Linked DNA regions of Drosophila melanogaster. The protein of the gene in region 1 interacts with the protein of each later gene in a pairwise test. Each region holds a gene or a part of one and is shown on either strand. Other genes may lie near its edges.

What was found.
Region 2: the proteins of Khc (region 1) and Klc interact in binary tests that used the Drosophila melanogaster proteins (3 or more experiments, as listed by UniProt).

Annotation. Positions count from the first base shown.
Region 1 is NT_033778.4:16,266,416-16,273,538, reverse strand, and holds Khc (kinesin heavy chain), read left to right. Parts: upstream 1-1,567; 5' UTR 1,568-2,053; coding exon 2,054-2,200; intron 2,201-3,285; coding exon 3,286-3,745; intron 3,746-3,883; coding exon 3,884-5,763; intron 5,764-5,834; coding exon 5,835-6,275; 3' UTR 6,276-6,579; downstream 6,580-7,123. Other genes in the region: CG33017 (uncharacterized protein), read right to left, coding at 1-834, 898-1,227; csul (capsuleen), read right to left, coding at 6,665-6,820, 6,886-7,123. UniProt on the Drosophila melanogaster protein: Kinesin is a microtubule-associated force-producing protein that may play a role in organelle transport. Milt and Miro form an essential protein complex that links Khc to mitochondria for light chain-independent, anterograde transport of mitochondria.
Region 2 is NT_037436.4:12,746,088-12,751,763, forward strand, and holds Klc (kinesin light chain), read right to left. Parts: upstream 3,970-5,676; 5' UTR 3,876-3,969; intron 3,753-3,875; exon of another isoform or gene 3,623-3,752; intron 2,812-3,622; exon of another isoform or gene 2,720-2,811; intron 2,596-2,719; 5' UTR 2,571-2,595; coding exon 1,969-2,570; intron 1,855-1,968; coding exon 1,734-1,854; intron 1,668-1,733; coding exon 1,188-1,667; intron 1,117-1,187; coding exon 811-1,116; intron 744-810; coding exon 726-743; 3' UTR 529-725; downstream 1-528. Other genes in the region: CG32109 (uncharacterized protein), read left to right, coding at 1-149, 210-391; CG10984 (uncharacterized protein), read left to right, coding at 4,520-4,652, 4,715-4,768, 5,220-5,676. UniProt on the Drosophila melanogaster protein: Kinesin is a microtubule-associated force-producing protein that may play a role in organelle transport. The light chain may function in coupling of cargo to the heavy chain or in the modulation of its ATPase activity.

The DNA.
Region 1 (7,123 bases):
CAACAGCATTACGTTTAACTGATCCTCGCCTGACTGGCGGCGATTCTTCGTACAGCCGCAGCTTTGATTCCGAACGGAGTCTCCATCGTCGGAGTAACTGCCGGGTTGATTCTGTTGCTTGGCCAACTGGTCTAGAAGTCTCCCGCACACGGCATTATTATTTCGCTTCCAGCTGTCGCAGCACGACTTCTGATTGTCCTCGCCGATTACTTTACGGAACCTGGGCTTCCACTCTCCGCGTTTTTGGGAACATAGTCTGGGACCTGGCCATCTATCGCTGCGTATACCATTGCCGACGGACTCGTAACCATCCCAGTTGTCAGCACCGACGTACACATCATTTTGTTGCGTTTGCGATGAACGCTTTTCTGGGTTGTCTTTCGTGGGACATGAACATGGTTTCCCAGTTCGATACTGTTTGCTATCACTTTTTTGGAATTTATTTGACTGATCCTGTTCCTGATACCGATTAGACATCCTTGGGTTGGTACTGCCGCTTTCTCCGCCTTCTAAAGAGCTCTTACTTCCGAATTGAGGACGACTGCTTTGACCTCTTAGCTCGCACGCTTCACAAGGATCTTCGTCTTCCTCTGGCTTGCAACGAACACAGTACGCAGTGGGATACCACCGATCATTGCCGGACGTAGATCTTTCATGGTGCACACCTAAGAACTCTTCATTTGGTGGCTCAGGCTCTAGAATCATCTTGTAGAAGGTGTACCCGCACCTGGTTTCACTGCAGCTGGGACTTAAAAAAGCTAGAGGCGATATGAATGTGTCCTCCGAAAAATTGGGTGGGAAATGTCCTTCCTTAATGGGACAGTTAGCTTCCTCCTGTGTAAAAATAGAAGATAATGGTTCACTATTCAATATCCAGTGCAAAAACCATCCACTCACCTCCAAGTTTCCCAAGAAATGCAAGTCCTCGAAGTAGGAGTACCTTGGACTATAACTATAACCCTCAATTTGACTATTTCGGATGGCGGCCAATTCCTTGGAGTAGTAGTGCCGCAGACCGAGCACCTGCAGCTCCACCTGGTCAGGAGTCAGGCCGCAGTTCATCCGCCGGGTGATTTGTCGCCAGGCGTCATCCTTCGCAGAACCACTATGGAAACCAGGTGACTTTGGATTCCAGAGGCACTCGTTCGATCGATAAAGTCGGATGAGCTTCTGCGTCTTCTTCAATCGCTCCAAATTCAAATACGACGTAATATCCTTCTGTGCCATCGTGCCCCTCTGTTCTCCACAATCCTTTCCAGCGACTCGGTGATCAATCTTCCATAGCGTTTTCCTATTGAACCTACAGAGGTTGTATGCCTAGTTTGGAGCTATATATTGCGCCCAAGCCGAAATATTTGGACAGGAAAAACAAAAGTGACAATAAACAAGCAATTTTGAATAATTTTTGAATGATTTTTAAACGGTATCGCTTAATTAGGAATATTATATGCCGTTACCATTTTCAAGATCTGCAGGGTGTCTCATACATTCGAAGCTTTTGAGAGTATTAATTCAGTATTATTGTGCAATTAAATGGCGATTGGTATTTAGCTGGGCGAGCAGAACGGTCACACTGGCGCACAGTAGCGAAAATAATAGTCGAATAATAAAATAGTTTTGAGTGCAACTAATTCCGACCTACTAACGTATGCGAGTGCATTTAGCGGCTGCACTTAATCATTCCGGGCAAAAAAGTGCAAAACAGTACGACGCGGAGCAGTCAGAATCGAGGTTGCGCTCCAGCGTTATCGCCATTTGACCAATTCAACTTTTGTGTCTGGTATAACCACAAAATTTTCACTGCATCTTCTTATTTGAGCCGCCCCCAACCCAATTTTCGCGAGTGTGTCGGAATCAGCAGAGAATCGGAACAAAAGGGGCCAAACGGAGTACCAGAATCGGCACAAGCAAACAGTGAACAGCAGATAGTGCGGACGATAGCGAGTCCGTTGATTATCCACGTAAACAGTGAGCTGCATGCGCAGAGGTCGCGCCCAGAGCTGCAGAAATCCAACAATCTCCGCCAGAAAGATCTATCTCCGCCCTGTAAGCAATGTCCGCGGAACGAGAGATTCCCGCCGAGGACAGCATCAAAGTGGTCTGCCGATTCCGACCGCTGAACGACAGCGAAGAGAAGGCCGGCTCCAAGTTCGTGGTCAAGTTCCCCAACAATGTGGAGGAGAACTGCATATCCATAGCGGTATGTGTTCCAGATCTATAGTTTTCGCCAGCCCCCAGTGCCTTTTCCCTATGTGTTATGCATTAATCTCGGCGTGCCGCGCCATGACGTCATGCCTATTAGCGTACATTACCCTTCCCCAAAATTGCCGACCAATTGGAATGCCAGGCGATAAAAAGAGAGAGGCACTAAAGTTACCCATGAATAATTGCACAAAACAAAACTAGATGTACATATACATGTATATGATGAAACCAACTAACTTTACTCCAAATCAATATTGCTTTGCACCAAATTGATTTTCCCCCAGTCGAAAAAGAATAGGGTGTGTAAATCGAAAGAAGCGCGATGACGGGGTGGAGAAATGCCACCCACTAGACGGTTTTCTGCTAAAAGCGGGTGTTCCATTCTTTTGGGCCGCATAAATATGCGCTTTTCTAGTTTCCAGTCCGCCTTCAGTGCTTACCTCACTTACATTTCCACACAAACACATACACACATTGACGGTAGCCCCCGCTCCACTTCCACTCCCCTGTCCGCGCGCCAATGAGTCATGCACGCAAAGCATACAAAAAAAAAAAATATGAGGAAAAACAATAAGAGCAACTTTGGAGGCAATGGAATTTGGCTGTATTGCTTTTATGCCACATGAAATGTTATTGCTTTGTATGCTATGCTGAATTTCCCGCTTTTCCGCCAGGTGTAATCCGTCATATTCCTGGTAAAGCTTGGGCAATTGAACCAGTTCCAAAAAAGTCAGCACTAATATAGTGCCTCCATACACAGACATTATCATTACGCTCTCTCTCTCTCTCTGACTAACTCTATCTATCTCTCTTTCGCTGTGGCTTTCTTCTGGCGCTCGTTATTCACTATTCTTCCCCCTTCCACTTAACATGTCTTAATGCTCATAATTACAATCTGCTTCGCGGCCATGCGTTGAAAATGATTCAAAGGCAGTCAGCGGGAAAAGATCGGGGACAGGGGGAATGAATCTCCGAAAGAAATTTCACCGCAACTGACACCAGTTTATAGCTAATGTAACTGGCTGCTATGTACTAAAGAAAAAAACACATTATACTAAACCTAATCTCCATCGTCTGCAGGGCAAGGTGTATTTGTTCGACAAGGTCTTCAAACCGAATGCATCCCAGGAGAAGGTCTACAATGAGGCGGCCAAGTCCATTGTTACGGATGTCCTGGCCGGGTACAATGGAACGATATTCGCATATGGTCAGACGTCCTCCGGAAAAACGCATACGATGGAGGGCGTGATCGGGGACTCCGTAAAACAGGGTATCATACCACGTATCGTCAACGACATTTTCAATCACATCTACGCGATGGAGGTGAACCTGGAGTTTCACATCAAGGTCTCCTACTACGAGATCTACATGGACAAGATTCGAGATCTGTTGGACGTCTCCAAGGTGAACTTAAGCGTGCACGAGGACAAGAACCGGGTGCCGTACGTCAAGGGCGCTACGGAACGGTTCGTCTCGTCGCCGGAGGATGTTTTCGAGGTGATCGAGGAGGGCAAATCCAATCGTCACATCGCTGTGACAAGTGAGTACTAATTAAAATCGATGGTCAGGACCATTTCAGCCAAACAAGTCTAGGAGTTATTCCAGCATTCGCTCTGACCTCGATTGTAGTGTTTCATGTACCAGATCATCTTTTATAACGATTTATCCATCCTTTCAGACATGAACGAGCATTCTTCGCGATCCCACTCAGTATTCCTTATCAATGTGAAGCAGGAGAACCTGGAGAACCAGAAGAAACTATCCGGCAAACTCTACCTGGTGGATTTGGCCGGTTCCGAGAAGGTTTCCAAGACTGGAGCGGAGGGAACCGTTCTTGATGAAGCCAAGAACATCAACAAGTCGCTGTCGGCCTTGGGCAACGTAATTTCAGCCCTGGCGGACGGAAACAAAACGCACATCCCCTACCGTGATTCCAAGCTCACGCGCATCCTGCAGGAGTCGCTGGGAGGCAATGCACGCACAACCATCGTCATCTGCTGCTCTCCAGCCAGTTTCAACGAATCTGAAACGAAGTCAACGCTGGACTTCGGTCGTAGAGCCAAGACAGTGAAGAACGTGGTCTGCGTTAACGAGGAGCTTACTGCCGAGGAATGGAAGCGACGCTATGAAAAGGAGAAGGAAAAGAACGCCCGACTAAAGGGTAAGGTGGAGAAGCTGGAGATCGAGCTTGCGCGCTGGAGAGCGGGTGAAACTGTTAAGGCGGAGGAGCAAATCAACATGGAGGATCTCATGGAGGCAAGCACGCCCAACCTGGAAGTGGAGGCAGCACAGACGGCGGCGGCCGAGGCCGCTTTGGCCGCCCAGCGAACGGCTCTCGCCAATATGTCCGCATCGGTTGCCGTGAACGAGCAGGCCAGGCTGGCTACAGAGTGCGAGCGTCTCTACCAGCAGCTGGACGACAAGGATGAGGAGATCAATCAGCAGAGCCAGTACGCCGAGCAGCTCAAGGAGCAGGTGATGGAGCAGGAGGAACTCATCGCTAACGCTCGGCGTGAGTATGAGACTTTGCAGTCGGAGATGGCGCGAATCCAACAGGAGAACGAGTCCGCCAAGGAAGAGGTTAAGGAGGTGCTCCAAGCTCTCGAAGAGCTGGCTGTAAACTACGACCAGAAATCCCAGGAGATCGATAACAAGAACAAGGATATCGATGCCCTCAACGAGGAGCTGCAGCAGAAGCAGTCTGTGTTCAACGCCGCCTCCACAGAGCTACAGCAGCTCAAGGACATGTCCTCACACCAGAAGAAGCGCATCACGGAAATGCTAACCAACCTACTGCGCGACCTTGGCGAAGTGGGCCAGGCCATTGCCCCCGGCGAGTCCAGCATTGACCTCAAGATGAGTGCTCTGGCTGGCACGGATGCCAGCAAGGTGGAGGAAGATTTCACCATGGCGCGTTTGTTTATCAGCAAGATGAAGACGGAGGCCAAGAACATTGCCCAGCGATGCTCCAACATGGAAACACAGCAGGCTGACTCCAACAAGAAGATCTCCGAATATGAGAAAGATCTGGGCGAGTACCGGCTACTCATTTCGCAGCACGAGGCACGCATGAAGTCGCTGCAGGAGTCGATGCGGGAGGCAGAGAACAAGAAGCGCACGCTCGAGGAACAAATCGATTCGCTGCGCGAGGAATGCGCCAAGCTCAAGGCCGCCGAGCACGTTTCCGCCGTTAACGCCGAGGAGAAACAGCGGGCTGAGGAGCTGCGCTCCATGTTCGATTCTCAGATGGACGAGCTACGCGAAGCCCACACCCGGCAGGTGTCCGAGCTCCGGGATGAGATTGCCGCCAAGCAGCACGAAATGGACGAGATGAAGGATGTCCATCAAAAGCTGCTCTTGGCGCACCAACAGATGACGGCCGACTACGAGAAGGTGCGCCAGGAGGATGCCGAGAAGTCCAGCGAGCTTCAGAACATCATCCTCACCAACGAGCGTCGGGAGCAAGCGCGCAAAGACCTCAAGGGCCTGGAGGACACGGTGGCCAAGGAGTTGCAGACGCTACACAACCTGCGAAAACTTTTCGTTCAGGATCTACAGGTAAAGTTTAAGCAATCCTATCTATTATTGCTACGTACAGATCTTAAAATGTATTTCCCTTGTGCCAACAGCAACGAATCCGAAAGAATGTCGTAAACGAGGAGAGCGAGGAGGACGGTGGATCACTCGCGCAGAAACAGAAGATTTCCTTCTTGGAGAACAACCTCGACCAGCTGACCAAGGTGCACAAGCAATTGGTGCGGGACAACGCCGATCTGCGGTGCGAGCTGCCCAAGCTGGAGAAGCGTCTACGCTGTACCATGGAGCGGGTGAAAGCTCTGGAGACAGCGCTCAAGGAGGCGAAGGAGGGCGCAATGCGGGATCGCAAGCGCTACCAATACGAGGTGGACCGCATCAAGGAGGCGGTGCGACAGAAGCATCTGGGCAGACGTGGCCCACAGGCACAGATCGCCAAGCCGATCCGGTCCGGCCAGGGTGCAATCGCCATTCGTGGTGGTGGCGCCGTTGGAGGACCATCCCCGCTGGCCCAGGTTAATCCTGTCAACTCGTAGATCCAATCACCACCTGTCGCCGCCCAGTTCAGCTCCGCTTTAAACTAAACTAAATGGATTACGTTATACATACTTAACATAACTGATAATTGCCTTCGCTTAGATGAGATGTGTCGCGATCATGTGCAGCGCTTTAAATATACATACATATAATTTAATTAAATAAATGAAAGGAAACCGGAAATTAACTAAATTTTACAAACCGAAAATAATAAAACCCACAGATATGTAAGGACATCTATATACGTTAAGAGTATTTATAAACTTTTCAAACATAAACCTAAATAAAAGTCGCAGACAAATTAAGGTCTCTTTAGTTTGATTCTTATTGCAGTTCAAAAAAATTATGCCGATTATTTGGCTATTGGTTGTTATTACATCGTCTGCTGTTACAATCGCATGTTGTAACCTGTCCCGCGTGTGTTATGGTGCTCCCAATCGTCTGGAGAATTGACCACCTGCCATTCGTACCACACTTTGGTTGCATCCACGCATCGCCAAAACTGGATGGATATAGTCTGTCCCTCCCTCAGAGTTCTTGGACGCTGAGTAGTAAAAATATATATTAATGTAGCAGTTATCAAAGGCTAACTAATCACATCACACGTACCGTTGCGAAGAACATGGGGAACCAGGAGAACATGCCAGGCGTATGGGTCAGAGGATTGATGCTTAGGCAGATGTCCTTGTACAAATGGGTATCAAAGTATCCGCCGATTCCGTGCAGCACGCAATCTTTATTGACTTTAAATGAAACCGTCTTGCAGCGAGTATTGTCAATATTTTCCGCTCGATTAGGATGTACGAATTCAAACAGAGCCTGCGGCTCGTCAATATGGTAAATATTC
Region 2 (5,676 bases), on another chromosome or scaffold:
AGAAATTAAGGAGAAAACGAATTTCCTTTTTGACATCATAACATTGAGAAGCAATGTTGAGAGTGACCCAGATGAAGCTGAAAAGGACTACGAGGAAGTTGTGGAGGGTTTGAAAAACGTAGTTTGGTCCAATGTCAAGTTTGGTTCTGGTTAGTGCCCAGGATTTGAGTTGAGAAACCAATAATCCATTTCGTCCTATTGATTTGCAGATCACAAGGAGGAAATCAGTGCCGACGAGCTGGATAGTCAGCTGAAGGACTTTGAAAACTTACTCCTCACGGCGCAAAATCTACGTAACGATACGAGTCTCACTCGGGAACAATTTCTGGATCGGGCTGAGCAGTTTGCAGGCATAGTTTCCTCGATTTTAAATGACAATGATAGCGACTAACTGATACTCAGTTATCGTAGGCAAACTAATCGTACTGTTTGTTATCAATAATAAATGTTAAGCTGATTCCACTGTAATGTGCTATATCTGGTCCGTATTTTTGGTTTAGTTTTGAAGGTTTAAATACAAACAGGATTATGTTAAATATATTTGGTTTATTATTAAAAGCGGTACATATTTTTTGAAATAACAAGGTATAAAACGTTGTTTATTTGCTAATGTATGCTTGAGAGCTTATGTATATTAAGGAATGAATAAATAAAGTGTGTGTTTGCTGTTAGCTTTCAATCATAAACTTAAAGATTCCGTTGTGGGCGATGAACAAATAATATTTTTATGGTTTCGCATTCTTCTGCAAGAATAAATGGGAATGATTAATTTAAGTTAATTAAGTTAAGTGATTCGATTTTGAAACTCACCTCCTCAGAGAAATCCAAATCCTCTTTAATTGCCTTCGATCGTCGCTTTTCGTTTGACGTTAGCAATTGTGAGAGCTTCGTTTGTTTAGCTAGATCGTAGGCTTCTTTTTTACTCCGCATTGCACAGTCTTCCAGGGTTTCGGCCGCTTCAAACATGCCTTGACGTCGGTAAAGTGCTCCCAGATTTTTTAGAGTGGTTGTGACCGTGGGCGAATCCACTTTAGCGGCCTTATGCCAACCGCCGTACTCGCCATATGGAGTGTTCTCCCTGTTATCGAATTTGTGCTCCTCACGCTCCTCAGCCACCTGAAAATTGTAGTAAGAAAAGGAACTTTTGAGTATTTACCAGGCATAACAGCACAACAACACAACATTACCTGCCAAATGGGCTTGTTTTTGCTGTCGATGGCTCCAAACTCACGTTCGTGGGCTCGCGTCAAGACCTGCTTATAGAGGATTTCAGCTTCGGTGTATCTACCTTGCTTCAGATAGCAGCCGGCCAGATTATTCTTTGTCTTGGCCACGTTGGGATCATCGGGACCCAACTTTGATTCGTAGATGTCGAGAGCTCGCTGGTAGTACTTCTCAACCTCGTCGTATTTGCCCTGATTCTGGCAGAGCAGGGCGAGATTGTTAAGTTGCTTGGCAACATCGGGATGATCCTTTCCCAGGACTTTCTCTCGGATCTCCAAGGCACGCTTGCACAGTGGCTCGGCATCTTTGTACTTGCCACGTTTGCCATAGAGGACGGCCAAGTTGTTCAACGTGGCCGCCACGGCTGGATGGTTCTCGCCCAGTGTCTTTCCTCGAATCGACAGAGCGTCGTTGAGTAAATTGGCGGCCTCCTTATACTTGTTCTGTATGGCACGAGATGTTGTTAATTAACGATTGTATAAATTAAGTTAATCAAAGCGTAGACGCACCTGATCGCGGTACACGAGAGCCAAAATGTTCAGCATGGTTGCTACATCGGGATGGTCGTGACCACTTGTCCTTTCGAGATCTTCCAATGCTTGCTTGCAGAGGGGAACGGCTACCTCGTATCTAGAAATATATTAGGCTATTATAGTTAATGATGAATTGATAGATAACGATGTTGTAGGTAAGGGGTTTCTTTAGTGCTCACGAGTAAAATAAAATGCATGGATGATGACTTACCTTCCCTGCGATGCATACTGAATGACCAGGTTGTGCAGAGTACGGAGACGCGCTGGAATCTCGTAGCCGGAAGTCTGGTTGGCGAACTGGCTGGGCGGAGTGGGCGACATGTTGTGTCTGTCCTCGTTTTCCTCGTCCGGGAATAGCTCGACCACGGGATCGGTGCGGGACTTGTCGCAAGCGTCGTCCTGCTCCTGATTCTCGTCGTACTTCTTCACGGACGCCATGAACTCCAGGTGCTTCTTCTCCTCCTCTAGTTGGGCCACCAGCTGCTCGGATGCCTGGAACTTTTGCTGAGTGTTGGCCAGCTCGTCGCGAAGCCAGGCGTTCTCCTGGTGGAGGCGGCGCACCTGTGTCTTAAGCTTGTGCTTCTCGGCCTCGATGTTCTGCAGATGGGATGTCAGGGCCATCATCACCTGGGCCTCGCTGAGGCCCAGTTCGATGTTCTCGATGTTCTTTCGCAGCATGTCCGACTTTTCATTGTCCTTCTGCACCTCGGCGATTCCGTTCATAATCGAAACATGCTCCACTCGCAAGGCTTCGAGGCCTTGAAGGACTGTTTTCGTATTGGTTATGATTTCGTCCTGCGACATTTGCGTCATTTTGCCGATTTTCTCAATTTTCTGTCTACAAAACACATACAAAATACAGATTAGTAAGTGCTCCTACAACCCTCTGACATCTGAAAGTGTAACAACATGAATGATATCAAAATTAAAAGGTGTTAATCGAGGTATTTGATGTGTTTTACATCCTGTATGATTTGATAGCTTTGGAGACAATCATTTTAACCGTATATTAAACGATTCTAGCTGCGTTAATCAATACGATGAAAAAGAAAATTCGCAGTGCGCATGCACGTTAAAAAAGGTGGTTGATAATCGAAAATGCCCGCGCTATTACATTCGCTGTAACAATAACTTTTAGAAACTACAGAAACTATTAAAAGTAAGGGATCAACTTTCTGGATTAAGTTAACTTCAATTTACTTTTAAGCCAAACAAATTCCAGTTCATTCAATTATGTTTTCTAATTGGAAACTAATGGTGGAAGCATATTCGATTTATATCGAATACTGTGCTTTGAAAACTTTCTTTTATTTATTATTTATCAACATTGCCGGTGTGATTTACATAAACATGACACTTCGTTAAAAAGTGTTTAAGGCCATTTAGTTCGTTTATTATGGTTATAATTATGGGCGAAAGTTAATTACACTTGGCGTCATGCAATAAACAAAAAACGAATGGCAAAAGTAGCTGCTTACATCAACTAAAATAAATTGTATAGTTTTTTAGAGACCGAAGCTATTAGTACCCTAACATATTCAAAATTATAGTTTTCTTTAGTCATTTGCCTTTCGAATCGGAAATCTAGATTGCGTAAAATGAGATTGTAAGTTGATTTTCGAGAAAATAGCTTTATTCTTAATCAAGATCGCCAAATATTGTGATTGGAATAGTCAGATTATAAATATTGCAAATGGGGTTACAACACCCCAGCTCACTAATTCCAGTGTATTAAAAAGTGAGTCACTTTTTGTACATAATATCTATGAACACTTAAACATAAAAGTTAGTGGCATTAAGAGATTGTATTTAGTATTTATCATGCTAAACGATTACTTAGGCCTTAGGCCTCCATTTGTGTTTACTTTGCCACACGAGCTGCCGCCGAGCACTTTTCCAACTAGACTTGATTATTTATGTAAAACGAATCATATTTTCCAGTAAAAAACTTTTCTTCAAGTGGCAGTCACTTATATTTATGTGCAACATATGTACATACACAGATAAGCTCAAGTAGATGTGTTTGTGTGTGGGTGAATGGATTTTGTCGTTCGAAATCCAGTTGGAAATGATTATGCAAGTTATCGCGCAGTGCATTCAAATATTGTAACTTATTACCAGCGGTTTTGCTCTGCAAACTCCTCAAATAAGCGAAATAGTGCGTAGATTTGCTATAAAAATATCTTACACTGCAAAACTTCTAAAATAAAACTGAGTGTGACCGTAGCCGGGGCGTTGAATTGTGTTTGACAAGCTAGGATTTTCTTCAACTGTGCAGTAGTGGTCACACTGTCGGGAGGAGAACGCAGTGGAATCGAAACACTAACTAAAGAAATGAAAATTCCTGAAAAAATCGGGTAGACTAACAATAAGACTTCGTATAATAGCTAAGATGTAGTATAAATAAAGTAGTAGTTAAAAGTAATAATGCGCAACATGCTATTTGTAAGCATCTATAACATGTTGGAGGTCAACAAACGCACATACCTTGGTGGAGCAGGTATTGATTTAGTTCAATAAAAAATTTAATTTTTGGAACTAATTAAAGGTGTATCTTGAAATTTGTACACATAATATATAAATTAATTTGTTGTTAACTTAATGGATTTGAAAACATCGTTATTATATTAGCAAGCTGGCATATTTTTGTATTCACGATACGGTCGCACTATTCTTTTTGTAATAAATTTTGCAAGACTTTTTCAAGTCTCCGTTTTTGTTCTATATTTTAATTTTTACCGTCTAAAACTGAACAAAAGAGTATGCCACCCCCAAGACCGAAGGGGATAGGATTTAATACAGGAGCTACCCAACCCAGATCGAACTCAAACACGCCAATGTCGGAGAGGCAGCAAATGGCTCTGCTCATCCAAATGACAGCCAACTCGTCGACAGGTAAATAAGCAAAATAATTAAGTGAATGTCTACTTTTCACATGATTCAAGTGGATTTTATAGTTCAGTCACAAAGCTTAGAACTTTTGCTCGTCGGCTTGAATTTCAATTTACATCGTGGGTACTTCGCTGCGTACATACTTACACGCATATACATCTATGCATGTACATATCTACGTATGTACATACATAAATGTATCTGAGAGTCAGGAATAATGTAAAAGTATCCGAGAAACTGGTTTCGATTGCGGATAAATTGTCATTTAACTGATTCAAATGAAGATACCAATTATTATTGAAGAAATATGTGTAAAGATGTCAAAAAAACCCTGTCTCTTATCCGAGCTAATACTTTAGAAACCAAAATTAAAAACAACTCATTTAACGATGCTTAAGTTCTTAGTTTTCACACAAAATCATTTTAGTTGGTTTTCCTTCAAACATAACTACAAATTCCACCCGAAAAGATATCCGATAGACAATAAGCTTTCATTTTACTTCCTACATGATCTTCCAAACTAAATCACACAGCCGTCAAATGTAATGTATAAGATTCTCGTTCTTGCAGATTCATCCCGCACCACCTTAAAGAAGAATGAATGCAAGAAAGGAGACGCAGAGACTGACGAGGGCAGCCTGAATGAGAAGCAAGAGGTCCTGGACACGAAAGACAAATCTTCAGCGGAGGAGAGCAGCAACGATGGTAAATCCAGCGATACGAATCATCAGGGAACTTCGGCTGCCAAGCGCTGCTACTCAGACATAGAGGAGGACTACGAGGAATCTGGCGAGGACGTAAAGAAAAAGAAGCGCAAGGATTCGGAGCATGGAAAGGACGTGAAGGGGGCCTCCCTGAAGCTCACATCGCGCGTGGAGAAAAGCTCCAAGCTAGCTGCAACGAAGGGATCCCCGTCAGGAAACAAAAGCAGCGCTTCCAATGCCGAAAAGGAGCCGGCGGAGACTAGTAAGAATGTAGATATTGAGAACGAAACGGAGTGCAGCGATGATTACAAGAGTAACGACAG